2 linked regions of the Caenorhabditis elegans genome follow. The protein of the gene in region 2 interacts with the protein of the main gene of each other region in a pairwise test. Each region holds a gene or a part of one and is shown on either strand. Other genes may lie near its edges.

Region 1 (6,141 bases), on a different chromosome or scaffold from region 2:
ATTTTTGATAAGAAACACTTTTTCTTTAGTTTCATATTCCTAACAGAAAAAAATTTGCGTTTTGAAATAAAAGTTTAATCGTGCTGCAACGCCAAATTAAAACGCTCCGCCCACATATTTTGGGTCTCGTTAGGTACTGTAGAAAACCGTAAACTAAACGTTTTCAATTTTTTTTCTTTTTCTATGTTATGCCTAACATGTTAAGAGTTTCTATTTTTATGTCGAAATTAATGAGATATGAGATAAAATTAATATCCGAATGAAAATTATTTTATTAACATTATTTTGGCATAAATATCTTTAAACATGAAAACATAACAAAAAAGACTAAAAATGATTCAAACCGAGTGAAATCTTACGGTTTTGCTACCAATACCTAACGAGACCCAACGTTTGGGGGCGGTACCTTTTAAACTCAGAAATTTAAAGGCGGGGCTTCGTTCCAAAACTGAGAAACGTGAGTAAAAAGTAGAACTTTTTAAGCAAACAAACTATTGACTGTCATGTTTATTTTTTTTTCGAGTTTCCGCTCTAAAAATTGTTAAAATCTTGATATATTTGTTCACGTTCCTGTGTCTCCGAACGAAGCTCATCCCACGAATCGCATCGACTCTAAAATACACTAAGTTTTGAGACCCGAAGAACTCGGGGGATGTCCAATTGGGGGGATTACCAACTCGGGGGATTGGCCCCGCCCACAGAACCGTGGCTTGCAATACGCCCATTTCTGCAACTGCCGCACGGTTTTAAAATCATTTTTTCTTGTTAATCCTCACTCTATTGATAAAAATACAGTTTTAAAACCGTGCGGCAGTTGCAGAAATGGGCGTATTGCAAGCCACGGTTATGTGGGCGGGGCCAATCCCCCGAGTTGGTAATCCCCCCAGTTGGACATCCTCCGAGTTCTTCGGGTCTCCTTCGGGTCTCTAAATTTTACGCAGAAATGCAGAATTCTGCAATTTGACGCCAAGTTTCGTGTTTCTCACCGATTTTTTTTTAATTTTTAATTTTCTTGCTCTTGGAATCTTTAAACAGCCAAATTTGGAAACCTTCATATTATTTTTTAAGAAACGTTTGATGTACCTTGTTCTTGTTTTGTAATTCCTCTTCAAACAAATAATTTCAGTTACAGATGGCTGATTTCACAAATAACGCTCTCAAAAAGTTTAAGCTCGTTTTTCTCGGCGAACAGAGTGGTAAGTGATTCCGAGGGCCGTTTTAGTTTCAAAAAAACTTATATTCAGTGGGAAAAACTTCTATCATCACCAGATTCATGTATGATTCGTTTGACAACACCTATCAAGCCACCATTGGAATTGACTTTCTCAGCAAGACTATGTATCTTGAAGACAGAACCGTAAGATACCATGTAGAAAATTGAAACTAAATTAATTACCTTGTCAGATTCGCCTTCAATTGTGGGATACCGCTGGCCAGGAACGTTTCCGATCTTTGATTCCATCTTACATTCGTGATTCGAGTGTTGCCGTTGTCGTGTATGATATTACTAGTGAGTTCTACTAGAATCTGAGATTTTAAATTATTTTAATAATTTTTCAGATGCCAATTCCTTCCATCAAACAACAAAGTGGGTTGATGATGTTCGCAACGAACGTGGATGTGACGTCATTATCGTGCTCGTCGGAAATAAAACCGATTTGGCTGATAAAAGGTAACGAACATGCACTCTAAAATTATTCCAAACAACAAGAAATTCAGACAAGTTTCGACGGAGGATGGAGAAAAGAAGGCTCGCGATTTGAATGTGATGTTCATTGAAACTTCTGCAAAAGCTGGCTACAACGTCAAACAGGTACTTATTTTTGAAATTCGTCTGAAAATTTTCAGACAATTAAAGTAAAAATAAGCCTTTTCAGCTCTTCCGCAAAATCGCTACGGCACTTCCAGGAATTGTCCAAGAGGAGACGCCTGAGCAGCGTAAGATTCTTATCAAACATTTTAGTGATTTATTTTAATTTTTTCAGCCAACATCGTTATCATGAATCCTCCTAAAGACGCGGAAGAGAGCCAAGGCCGTCAATGTCCGTGTTAAATCCAATCCGCAGCTTTTCATCAACCAAATTTATTATTTATTTTCCAAATATGGGTTTTCAAAAATTAGCAACTGTTTCTCTCAACTCCACGCTTATGTTCCCGTTGTTGCCTTCCTCTTCATCGCTCATCAAAATTTAAATCGAATCTATTGCCTGTTTCAAATGTATCGTGCTCAAGTGTACCGTAAATGAATCGAATAAGTCTGTATTGACAAAATTGAACAGGTGGAAAAATGAAAAGTAATATCATTACAAATAGCAGGAAGCGTCAGAAAATTGCAGGCGGTATTAAATTAGGGGTGAGGGTTTAATAAATCATTAAAATTCTAAATTTGGTGATCAGATCACTCGGGGGAATGTGTTTAAAAAATAAAGGAATTATTAGTTAAAAATAATAATTACGAATTATAGAATATAAATACAAAATAATTATCAGAGGGGGTGGGGGGAGTGTCATGCTAATAAGGGGGTTTACTTAGTTTTTTGAAATTATTATTGTTGAATATTTATCGTGCACAAATTTTCGGCAGTTTCTTTTTCAAGTTCTTCTTGCATTTTAAGGCAGCATTTGATTCTATAGTAACTTGGGTCGATTTCGACAGATTCCTTGAGAACTTGAATACATTTTAGCTTCAATGAAAGTGGCTGGAAGAATGGAAGCTCGCAATAACTCATCCCTGAAAAATTACGATGAAGAAAACGTCTATTTGGTGGAGGGATTACCATAATTTTCCTTGTATCGAAATAGGAATACAGAGCCACTAGGATGGGGAAGAACCACGTCAGTTCTGAAAAAAAAATACTTAGGAAAAAAATAGATTAATTTGTACCCAAGAATGAGAGCATCCACAGCCTTGATTCGCTCGCTGTCCAAGTCAATACAGCAGAATGACGAATTACGTGGCTTATGGCTGCAACAGTAATCACGGGCGTCCAAATCGGCAACACGCTGAAATTAAATTAATAAACTATCAACAAATAATATTTTCATATCCTACGGTTCTCATTTTCTTGCTGAGCCCCATATCAACAGTAAAGTGTGACCATCGTTGTACTACAACCATTTTGCCATGCTGTGCTATGCTCTGATGTTCTTGACGGAGCTCATCGCTGATTTTTCGCCATAGTTCAATGTCACCTCGATTGAATCTTGTCTCTATTGTTTCAGGATTAACTGCATGAATCGCATCTTTTTCGCCCTTTTCGATGACATCTTTCAAATTCACACGAAGTTGAAATACTCCTCTGTGCGGTTTCGTCTCCGGGTTATCAATTTGCGGATCTAGACCATAGTCCCGGTTTTGCTCCTCGATAAATGAATGCGAATCAATCCTAATGAAAAAATTAACGTCATTTCTGTAGACCCATGGCACGTAGTGAGATGATACAAATGGATCGAGAAATACGCGAATACCAGTGAATTGACTGACGATATCGTTCATATCAAATGATACACATTTCGCTTTGAAACACGTTGAAGTTGGAATAAATGGAAGAAGAATCAGAGAATCCACTCCGTTTGAGAATACCAACCACAGGTAGTTATTGTGATCAATGAACGGTTCGCCACGTCGATTTTCGAAAATATGGTACCAATAAGATGCTACGATTGTTTTATTCGTACGGTACTTGCATGAACCAGAGTACACTAATGTCTGTGTTTCGTGAGATACGTAGAAGAATGATTGCTTGAATTTCAATGGAATTTCATCATCCGGTCCTGCTTCATAGTCTTTCTGAAATTTTATTTTTTGGATTAGGTATGGTAGATCGGACACTTACTACAAGGGTTATTGTGCCGATTATATCGTTTCGTGCCCAGTAGAGAAAGCAAACTCGTGGAATTTCGAAAGCACCACGGTCCATGGTGTATAGGGTCCATTTGTTCGTATGTAGATCGAATACAGCCATACGGTCACGTAGTTGTTGGTTAATGACGTCACGACCGCCCGGAAGATCAATTCCATATCTTCCACACGGCGACCACTTCCAGACAAACGATTCTACGTCAGAAAGGCGCCTGAAAAGGTTATAAAATTTAATAGATATATATCTAGAGATCCTCACCTATATTTTTCATCTATGAACTCGTATTCGCTGAATTCGTCGCAAGTCTGAAATTTTTGTTTTGTCGAAACTGAGTGGTTTTCAAGATTTTTACCTGTGGAACCAACTTCCATGGTATCTCATTTACACAGAAAGTAGATAACTGACTGGTACTCGCGGAACACTCACTCATTGTGTCCACTCTGTAATTAGATACATATTTTTGAACAGAAGAGAGTAGAATTAAGATTAAAATAGAAACGTGAAACGTTTTTAAAAATATAAACGATTAAAAAAAGTATAGTTCAGTTTTTAAAAAAATGTATTGCTATCATTTTTGCTGAATTTGAATCATTCAAATGAATATTCTAAGGTGAGAGGAGATTGAAAATAAGCGATAACTAATCGGATTGCAGAATGGAAATCCGTAGTTCCGAAAAAGTGGTTCTTTCCTTGTCAGTCGTTGCGAGCTTGGTTTATTGGGGATGGACATGGTGGAGAAATCAAAATGGAACGGATGTGAAGCAGGTGTCTAACAGACGAAACCCGAACATTTTCCACATGGTTCGTTCGCCAGGCTCGCCGAGAACACGAGACGCCCATAAGAATCGCGGGTGTACTTGTAAAATGATTAGCACTAAAGACGATTGTCAGGAGGTTGGAAACATAAAAACATGAAAAGTGTAAATATTTTCCTATGTTGCAGAGAAAGCAAAAATCCAAGGACAGTGGAGAGAAGGAAGTTGACACAAATGTAAGAAGCAGCCAAAAGCCAAACAATTTTCATTATTTTTTTTTATTTTCAGCAAAATTTGATTCCGTCTTCAATGAGAAACTCTCGTCGAATTATGCTCAATAGATAATTTTCGTGTAAAAATAAACGTTTTATTTATATTGTTTTTTCACGTGACCTCTGAGGTCACGTGCCACGTCATCGAAACGAATCTCGATGAAGAATCAAAATTAATTTATTTTCATTTATTTTTGCGAGCATTAGAAAAAATTGAGATGTCTGCTACTCCAGTCACTCTGAAAGCTGTACAAAGTGAAGGTTTGTTTGTTTCTTATTAACTAGTAAAACGGAGAAGCAAGTGAGCGCGAGAGAATAGGATGAACAATGTCGCTGGCTAGAGATGAACGGGAAAATAGCTGAACGCGGACCGCGGGCGGATTGATTGGCTTTGATAGAGATGAATGTTTTTATGCGGAACAAAACAAGAAAGCTTGCGGCGACGTAGGAATGTGAGATTTAGAGATTTCTCGCGAGGAACATGGAAAATTGGGCAGATTGTCTTTGAATTCCCGCTTGAAAAACATTGCCGCGTCGAGACCCATCCATTAAACGTCCTGCGCCTTTAAGATTACGGTATCACATGTATTTTTATTCTTTGAATCGTTTCTTGATTTTCAATCAAATAAACGCGAATTTTAGCATGTTTTATGTTTTCAGTATTTAAAAAACGGTTGAATTAAATATTTTCAGTATCTGCCCAAACTGCGAAGTCATCGGAGGCAGAAGTAAAGCGATGCGAGGATCTTATCCTGTCTTACTCGAGGCAACTTGCTAAGGAAAAGGATATTACTGGAATCCGAACACTCGTCGAATCCATTCGTAGCTTCTACGATCTTGTTGGAAAAGCTCGAGCAAGTAAATTGATAAGAGATATCGTGGAACATGCGCTTACGATTGATCAAGGAGTCGGGCCTGCGCTTGATCATGGAAAGAAAGAGAAGATCGATCTCTTGACGAACTGCATCGGCTGGGCGACGTCCAACAAGAGGGAATTTCTCCGTCGGAGTCTTCAAGCCCGTCTCATTCGTCTCTACAACGATATCCGTGACTTTACGAACGCTCAAAAGCTGGCTCAAGACCTTTCAAAAGAGCTCAAAAAGCTTGAGGACCGTGAATTGCTAATTGAAGTTTCTGTCGAAGAAAGCAAGAGCTCGTTCAATCTCAATAACTTGGCGAAGGTGAGAAATGTCTAGAAAATTGAAATAAAAGTGCATTTAATATATTTTCAGGCAAAGACTGCACTTCTGA
Region 2 (9,200 bases):
GAAGAAAAAACTGTAAATATTGACCCTACTCACTCACAAAACTTGTAAATTTTACCTAAAACATATCCTAGAAAGCCTAAAATTCGGACAATATATGCTCATTCTTGTGTGGATGTTAAATTTATATAAAAAGAACATGCAATAATTTCTGGGAAGGGAACTGAATTTCGAAAAAAAAATTAGAATTTCGGTGTAAAAATTTACAAATGAATGGCAAATATATCAGGGGGGGGGGGGGGGAACGAGAAAAAATGAAGAAAAAAAGTGAGTTTGAGTGAAAATGAAAAACTAGAAGGCATCGAATGGTGTGTATAACGGAAGAATTTCCCAGAAAAAAAGTAGATGGTGATTGGGGACCGGCAAAGGGTGACTACCGTAATCTGTGGGATTTTCTTTTCAAATTTTTTGGGATTTTTAGAAAGTGGAGACGAGGGAAGAGGAAATGTGTGTTGTGTGGATTGAATTGAATTGAATCGAATGTGTCAAAAATACATTTTGTGCAGATAGAGATAGAGGGCTCTGCGCGGAGCAGCACACGGTTAACAATTGCATCCCGAATTCTGCTGGTTCTGTTGATTTGGGTTGAGACGGATTTGGTCGGGAAACTCTGGGAAATCGTTGGTTTCCTGAAAAATTTAAAATTTTTAGTTTGCTTTTTGTTGGAAAAATTCAAATTTTTACATAAAACGCAGCATATTTTTGATATATTTATTTAGTTTTAGATTTTTCAAATTTTTTGAAAAAACCAGTTTTCTAACCAATTTCTTTGATTTTTAGCTTCAAAATCGCTAAGTTATGCCATTTTCAACCGAAATTTGGCAGTTTTTCTTGATTTCTGCGTACTTTTTTCACGATTTTAAAGCTATTTTCACTATATAACTAGTTTTTAATTACAAAAAAATCAATTTCCGCCCGAAATTTCACATTTTTTAATTTCACAGGAAAATCCAATTTCGCCGCATTTTTACCTGAGATTCTCTAGCCAACGCATCACGAGCAATTGCCAAAAATGCGGCTTCAACGTTGAGAGCTTCCTTGGCAGAAACCTCGTAATACGGAATATTTCCCTTCGTCTGGCACCAAGATTGAGCACGTTTTGACGAAACGGCACGCTGTGACTCCAAATCCACCTTGTTTCCGAGCAGGACAAACGGGAAATGGTCTGGATCGCGGGGGCTGCAAGAATTTGAAGTTTTATAGAAAAACCGTGGATTTTTCGAATTTTTTGGAGAAAAATGGTGGATTTTTCCGTTTTATTAGAGAAAAATAATGAATTTTTCAGTTTTTTTACAGAAAAAATGTGATTTTTCTAAATATTCCCCGTACCTAGCCTGAATCAGAAACTCGTCACGCCACGAGTCAAGCGATTTGAACGAGGCGGCATTTGTGACGTCAAAAGCCAGCACACAGCAATCGGCTCCACGATAAAAAGCGACTCCGAGCGATTGGAAACGTTCCTGGCCGGCTGTATCCCAGATCTGAAATTTTTGTGTAAAATTTTGTCTATTTTTGATAATTTTTCACCTGAAGAGTGACGGTTCTGTCGTCAATGTTTACGTCGCGTGTGAGGAAGTCGGCTCCAATCGTTGCCTGAAGGAGAAATTTGTTTATATTTCAGGGAGAATTTTGAGTTTAAACAAAAATTTCAGTTTCTAAAAAAATTGACAAACCTTATATTGATTACTAAATCGCCGATTTACATATTGATTCATCAAAGATGTTTTTCCAACGCCCGAATCTCCGAGAATGATCACTTTGAGCAGCGCCTTCTTTCTGGTTCCCGACATTTTTGTTCACTGGAAGCCTTTTTGTTGTGCTGCAAAAATCAATTAACTGATAAGAAAATGAATTATAGATTAAAAAAAGAAAGAAAAAGATACAGACAGGCGATTGTTCAACCTGTGTCGCAAGAACAAATAGTAACTAAATTGTGACGACGAAATTATTTAGAAATATTACATAAAGCGAAAATACAATTTGACCCGTAGCAAAAAAATACATGTCGGGAAAATGAGAAAAATGGTTAATAAATTTTTAAAAAAAGTATATAAAATTCCTCCAACAAGCTACTGCATGTCCTTGTACTTTACAATCTTCTCCGACGGATTCCACTTCCGATCGGGGCATTGCGATTCTTCATGTTGGTGTCGCAATGCTGCAGAGACGACGTGCAGCGGATTGTGCCTACAAATGGCAGCTTCGAGCGGTCCAGTGCCCGCCTGAAATGGAATATTTTCGATTTTTTGAATGAAATATGTGTAGCTCACCTCGTTGTAATGATTGGTTACCGTGAATAATTGCGGGTCTCGATTTTTCCCTGGATTAAAATAGTATTGTATCAGTTTTTTCGAGTAAAAACCAACCAGTGAACCTAGGAGCGGTTTGAATCGCATCGGCCATTTTCGCGTGAGGGCGCCTGTAAAATGGAAAGTTTCGCATTTTCTGACAAAGAGGATAGTGATGGTGACGAAAAAAAGAACAAAAAGATTGAAAAAGTGGCGATTTTTTGTGTAAAAAGGGGCAAAAAGTGCACGTGACAGGGCCGTCAGCTGGGAGAAATGGCCAGATGAGACACGCGCCGCGAGAGCCGCGACGCGTTCGACAGAGCGCACTTGTGACGAGACCACGGGAATTATCGAAGCATGGAAAGTGATTCGTGGGGATTTTGAGCAGAAAATTAGTTTTTCATGGTGAAAACTGGGAGGAAAATTAAAAACTTCAAAATTAAAGATAAAGCTTTAAAACAAACAGCTTAAACTAGCAAAATATATACTTTAATTTTCAAAATTTTAAATCCACCGAATAAGTGATCCCCCTAATTTTTCAGCTTCAGCTTCTCGTGCTTAGTCATGAGCATGCTCACGCTGAGCAGCTTTGAATAGTAAAAATAGAAGCACTTTTTGAAAGGAAAAGTACAGAAAACATAAAATTAAAATTGGGAAAATGGAAAAAGACTGGGTATTCGGGGGGTTTCCTGGTATTATACTTAGGAATATTCCTGAGTGTAAACTAGGCAAATAAAAAATTTCGAAAGATTGGAAACCGGATTTAGTTTTTTTTTCAGAGAATTTTTCATGATAGACGGGGGAAAAGAAACGAAAAAAAAATGGAAAGAAGCTTTCAGACATGCGAAAAATCTGAAAATAGATTGTGTCTCGAAGAGTTTCAATTTATATTCTTGTTTTCTAGAGTTTTCGACATCAAAAACCGAACAAATAAACAAGGAAACTGTCCGAAAACAAAGAAGAATAATAAAAATGAATCAAAAAGTTACGGTTCAAAGACGCAGCCACAAAAGTTGTTGCAGGGTCTCACCACGACTACCGTAGCCCGTGGAGCGGGAAATTTTGGATTTTGAGGTAAATGGCGCGAATTTCGCTCATTTTTCTTCATTTTTTGCGGAGATTTTGCCCAAAAATTCAGTTTAATTCAATTTACACCTTTTTTTAACGATTTTGTTCCTCAATTCCTCAATAAAACATGATTTTTCGTCGATTTTCCACCAAATTAATTAATTTCAGGAAAGGAGAAGGATGCAATCTTCAAATGGAGAGCATCACCAACAAAAGCAGACGCCGTACTTCATGAATGCTCCATGCGACCCGGCTCTTCTCGCGTTGGCTCAACAAACGTTTCTAGGCTTCCAACCACAAAAGAATATGTATCAACATGGTATTTTCTTTAGCTTCTGAAGGATAAATCGAATAAAATTAAAAATTAATTTTAGGATTTCCCCCGATGCTTCCCCACAGGAACCTCATTCCGTCGCTGGCGGCCGCGATTCCCGAAATGGATAAGCTAATGTTGGAGGAGCCAATTGAGGCTGGAAGCATGCCATATCGCAGAGCCACCAACAAGAATATCTCTGTGTCCGATGACGTAGGAGAAATTTGAATTATTAAATTCAAAAAATATAAAAATCTAATATTTTTCAGTCATTCAACAACATGCATCGGTCCTCTTCCTCATCGCAATATCGCCGTCATTCCGCTCAATGGGAGACTATGACTGATGACGAACGAGAGTCGGTTCAGCGTCAGAAGCGCAAGGAAGAAGCATTCAAGACGGCACTTTGTGACGCTTTTAAGCGCTCAGGCTCCTGCCCGTACGGCGAAGCTTGCCGGTTTGCTCACGGCGAGAACGAGCTGAGGATGCCGTCGCAGCCACGTGGCAAGGCGCATCCAAAGTACAAGACGCAGCTGTGCGACAAGTTTTCCAACTTTGGACAGTGTCCCTATGGACCACGATGCCAGTTTATTCATAAGCTGAAGAAGGTTGGAACATTTGAGATTGCAGGAATTCTCATAAATGAATAAAATAGCATTATTTTCTTAGGTTTTTATATTAGGTTTTTTTGTTTAAAATCTTCAAATTCTTACTAATTTCGTCGAAATTTTGAGCTGAAATTCGTTGAAAATTGCGAAATCTTTACAAATTTTGGTTATTTTCAGTGAAAAAGATCAAAATTTGGTCATTTTCAGTTAGATTTTCAAATTTTCGTTAAAAATCATCAAATTCTAAGTAATTTCATGGAAATTTTGAGCTGAAGTCAGTTTATAATCCTCGTTTTGTGTGAAACACATTGTAACTTTCAGATTTTTCGTTAAACTGTTAAAAGTCGCGTTCAGTTCAATTTTCCACAAATTTTTCGCCATTTTCACTGAATTTTGCCCCTAGTTTTGTGGGAAATCTTGCATTTCCTAAAAATTTCATAAAAATTCGAGCTGAAATTCGTTGAAAATCGCGATTAATTCTTTTTTTTTCACAAATTTTAGGTTATTTTCACCAAAAAAGACAAAAATTTCGTCATTTCCAGTCGGATTTTTCTGATTTTTCGTTAAAAATCTTCAAATTCCTATTCATTTTATAGAAATAGAGCTGCCAAACCCATTGATTTTTTAGTGAAATTTTTCAAATGTTCTGTTTTCTCGCTATTTTTTAATTGAAAAAATCAAAATTTGAGTCATTTTCAGCGCAGATTTCCTAATTTTTCCCGAAAAATATTCAAAATCTAGTAGATTTCCATAGGAATTTTTAATTTTTAATTAAAAAAAAATTCTTGCAGGGTCTTCCACTGAGCGAGTACAACCGTGCTCTTCAAGAAGGCGAGATCTCACCGGCTCGCGACGACGAGATCACCAATCCCGACGAATCATCATCCCAAGTGGAGGATCTGAGTGAGCTTCACCATCGACAACATCAGCAGCAGCAGCAGTACCAACAACGCTATCGTCGGCCACCATTCAACAATTTCCACGATATGTCGGATAGTGGATACAGTGCTCCTCGCCGCCGGCTTCATCATCAATTCGAGCATCTTGGTAGTGAGCAGCAGCAGCAGCAGCAGCAGCAGACACCAGCTCCGAAGATTGTCTATCCATCGATGCAAGTTGTCAATATTGAAATGGCAACTGGTGACGGACCTAAAAGGTCTGACAATCATCATTATCATCATCATCATCATCAACGTCGTCATATTCCGGCACCACCATCCACCGGTCCACTGAGCTCTCTCATTGATCAGGCCGACTATGAAGCTTCTATGGCAAGCGGGAAAATGTTCGGAAAACCAGTTAGTCCGCCTTTTTCCCGGATAAAACCGTCAAGTTTTGAGAATTTTCAGGAGAACATTCGCACCTATGGAGCCATGATCCGCGCCAACGAGGAGCACGTCGAGCGTAATCAGACTGGAGTTGTCAAGAAGGAACGGGCGACGGTTCTACCGAAAAGGGTACGGCATCCCCGCTGAACAATTGCTTCTAATTATGAAAAAAACACAAAAAATGCGATTTTTCAATGCGACCAATCAGCGATTCACACCGCCCACTTTTCAACCAATCATATATAGTGGGCGGAGCTGATTGGTTTGGCAGTTCTCTTCAAAGTTTAAATATCAATTTAAATCTCTTTTTACGAATCTTTTTCATTTTTTGTAGTTTTTTTTCCGAATTTTTTAGAGAAAAACCCCCATTCTCGCTTTTTTTAGAGAAACCACCAAAAAAATCGGCAAAGAATGTAAAATTCTACTTTAAAACCAGATTTTTCAATTTTGGCGAAATTCCCTTCAAAATGAGAACTGCGACCAATCAGCGATTCGCACCGCCCACTTTTCAACCAATCAGATGTAGTGGGCGGTGCTCGAAGACGCTGATTGGTTTTGCAGTTCCTTTTTGTGGTTTTTAATGAATTTATACTATTTTTGGATTAAAAAAAGAAGCAAAATTCCCGTTCTAGCTATTTTTCAGGGAAACCACGAAAAAAAATGAAAATTATTTTTTAAAAACCCGATTTTTTTAAATTTTGGCGAAATTCCTTCCAAAATGAGAACTGCGACCAATCAGCGATTCGCTCCGCCCACTTTTCAACCAATCACAAAAAGTGGGCGGAGCTCGAGGACGCTGATTGGTTTAGCAGTTCCATTTTGAATTTTAGAGAAAATCCCCCATTCTCGCTGTTCTTTCCAAAAAAAACCACAAAAAAATCCCTGAACAATGAAAAATCTACTTCAAATAAACTCCGCCCATTTCATTTGATTGGTTGAAAAATGGGCGGTGCGAATCGCTGATTGGTCCCCCTCCATACAAATTTTGTTTCAGGATCTTTCACTGATTCGCGAGGAGGATACACTGCTCGTCGACGGTTCTCATCTGAATATGACGTCATCGGCGATTCTGCCAGCTCATCAAATCCCTTCCACCACGACCACCAGCACATCATCTCCAGTCCAAGAACAGCCGTGGTACGAGAAGATTTTCGGGAAAATGACAATGATCCAAGAGGAATCATCGATGGGCGGTGAAGACGACGATGCTCACGAAGATCATTATTCGAGATAATCTGGATTCCTCCGTCCACCCCCTACCTACCTACCTAAAAATCTGCCAAATTCTCACAAATTGTCCCAGTCCAAAATCTCTTACAACAAGAACAAAAAATCCCCTCCAAATTTTCATGTCATATCATAATTTTCCCCCCACACCACCAAAAAAATGTCCATATTTTGTATTTTTGTGTCCCACCCCCCGGCCAATCTGAGCCATATTTATTTTGATAATGATTGTAAAAAGTTATTTTGTGATCTCTACCGTTTCCCCCCAAACATTCCCCATTTCTCTATCTCTCTCTCTAGTCTATCTCACTCTCTCTATCGGTGTCTCGCCACGATACCCACCGACCCAGAACGCCAAGAACAAATATGAAGAGATTTGAATTTTTATTCAAAAACAAAAAAATACTCAAAATCAATCAATAATCCACAGACCAAACTTCACTGTTCCACTTGCAACGGACAATGTTCCGCCCGTATTTTTTGATCATTTCCTCGGCGATTGCCACGTAGTCCGCGCGGCATTTCTCCGAATTCGCGCCTTTCTGCGATTTCCAGGCGGCATATTTTTTCCTGCCGACCTCGTCACCGGCGGGAACTGCTGAAAAATATAGAATGTTAGATTTTGGATTATTTTCCATTCGAGACCCTTACGATACACATCCTCATTTGGAATGTCCCCATGGAGAGCCTGTTTGTACAATGCGTAGAGTTTCAGCCGCTCTCGATCGGTTGGCTCGGACTTGAGCCGACGCATCTCCTCGGCGGCAATTTCAAAAGTTAGCCCGGTCCATTTCTGAGGGAATTGGGAATTTGATTGTTATTATTGAATCCTCGAAAAATTCGGTGGAGCGCGCTTGCATCTTTTACTATTATGGGGCGTAAACGGCCGCGAATCATGGGTCTCGTTATTACGGGACCATGAGATCATGAGAATGCCTATTACTGGCGCGAAAATATTGGCAGGCCGCGGCAGCGAGAGAGCATATGGCGAAGAGAGACGCAGGTCCCTTCGCTACGAGATATTTGCCGCCAGAGAAGTAGGCATTCTCATGATCTCATGGTCCCGTAATAGGTATTTGGTGAAAAATTTCGAACGTTTTCGAGAATTTTGCAGCGTTCTCAAAAACTACGGAATATATAGGAAAAATGTTTGAATTTACGATTTTACCGCCAAATTTGGACGCCATACCTAAACAAGACCCATAATTCGGGGGCGGAGCGTTTCAAATTAGCCGCCGAGCGCGTTTTCACGTCGATTTCATTTTTCTGGATTTAACAAAATCAGTGTTCTGGGCTTCCTCAATGCATTTTTCGCGCTCCATTGACAATCGTCAACGCGTGGAAAAGTGTCGTGTACTCAACACGGACAAATACATTTATTTTTACAACTAAAACCGAGCCGCGACGCGACACGCAACGCGCCGTAAATCTACCCCAGATATGGCCGAGGCAAAATGGCCTAGTTCGGCCTAAAATCTTCCATTTCAATTTACGAGGGAATTCCCTCCCTAGGGAAGCCAGAAATCCGTGACTACGGAAAAAAAGTTCAAATTCACGATTTTACCGCCAAATACCTAACGAGACCCATGGTTCGAAGGCGGAGCGTTTTAAATTTGCCGTGGAGCGCGTTTTCACATTGGAATGAGCGTCTCATTGAAGCGAACTTGCTGACCAGACTGAAATTGAAAATTAGCTCACCTTTTCGAGCTCGGAAATCGGCATTTTTGGAGGCGATAGAATTATTGTTGGCTCCCGCGGAGCACACACGCTTTTATACCCCCTAATTGGCTAAAATATTCGCGAATTTTCGAGGGAAATTGCCTGAAATTTGAGTGGAGGCCCTATATGAGATGTGTGTTCGATGAATATGTAATTTGAGAAAAATAATTGTTTATTTTGTGAGAAATATAATTATTTAAATTCGTTAAATAAGTTTCATGAAAGTTTTTACAGTAGAAAAGCTAAAAAATCGATATATTATGGATTTTTGAAGGCATTCAACGGTGAAAAATTGAAATTTAGTGAGTTTTTGGAAAAAAATTTGGGTGAGAATTTGTATAATTTTTGAGTAAAATAAAAAGTGGGGGAAATTAATAATTTTTATCCGTTGGTGTGTCGTTGCAGTCGCGTAGGGGGTTCCTTGCCAGTTGTTTCTCTGAAATTTCAAAAAAATTATTTAGTTTTTGACTGGCAACGAGCTCGTACGCGTCAAAAAAATACGATGAGAACAAAAAAAAACAAGGAGAGGGGTATGCGCCTTTAAGATAAGGATACGGTAACGGGGGGGAGGTCACTGGTCTCGACACGACAGTTTACTGCGAAAAGGTGTGCGCCTTTAAAGAGTACTGTAGTTCTCAATTTCACGTGTTTA

The links.
Region 1: the proteins of mex-1 (region 2) and zif-1 interact in a two-hybrid assay, tested with the Caenorhabditis elegans proteins (one study listed by BioGRID).

Annotation. Positions count from the first base shown.
Region 1 is NC_003281.10:9,000,941-9,007,081, reverse strand, and holds zif-1 (Zinc finger-interacting factor 1), read right to left. Parts: upstream 4,304-6,141; 5' UTR 4,294-4,303; coding exon 4,216-4,293; intron 4,169-4,215; coding exon 4,122-4,168; intron 4,075-4,121; coding exon 3,837-4,074; intron 3,791-3,836; coding exon 3,053-3,790; intron 3,004-3,052; coding exon 2,885-3,003; intron 2,843-2,884; coding exon 2,778-2,842; intron 2,732-2,777; coding exon 2,547-2,731; 3' UTR 2,243-2,546; downstream 1-2,242. Other genes in the region: Ras-related protein rab-6.1, read left to right, coding at 1,133-1,196, 1,245-1,357, 1,405-1,510, 1,561-1,672, 1,720-1,813, 1,878-1,938, 1,986-2,053; F59B2.15 (uncharacterized protein), read left to right, coding at 4,460-4,473, 4,517-4,757, 4,807-4,854, 4,907-4,963; putative 26S proteasome regulatory subunit rpn-6.2, read left to right, coding at 5,109-5,151, 5,584-6,071, 6,123-6,141.
Region 2 is NC_003280.10:11,965,116-11,974,315, forward strand, and holds mex-1 (C3H1-type domain-containing protein), read left to right. Parts: upstream 1-3,521; 5' UTR 3,522-3,533; coding exon 3,534-3,672; intron 3,673-3,727; coding exon 3,728-3,879; intron 3,880-3,935; coding exon 3,936-4,274; intron 4,275-5,065; coding exon 5,066-5,572; intron 5,573-5,614; coding exon 5,615-5,731; intron 5,732-6,596; coding exon 6,597-6,836; 3' UTR 6,837-7,232; downstream 7,233-9,200. Other genes in the region: rab-7 (Ras-related protein Rab-7a), read right to left, coding at 540-626, 969-1,176, 1,327-1,478, 1,525-1,590, 1,671-1,787; W03C9.5 (PTK2), read right to left, coding at 2,067-2,219, 2,268-2,317, 2,364-2,400; acbp-6 (ACB domain-containing protein), read right to left, coding at 7,246-7,427, 7,481-7,622, 8,528-8,551.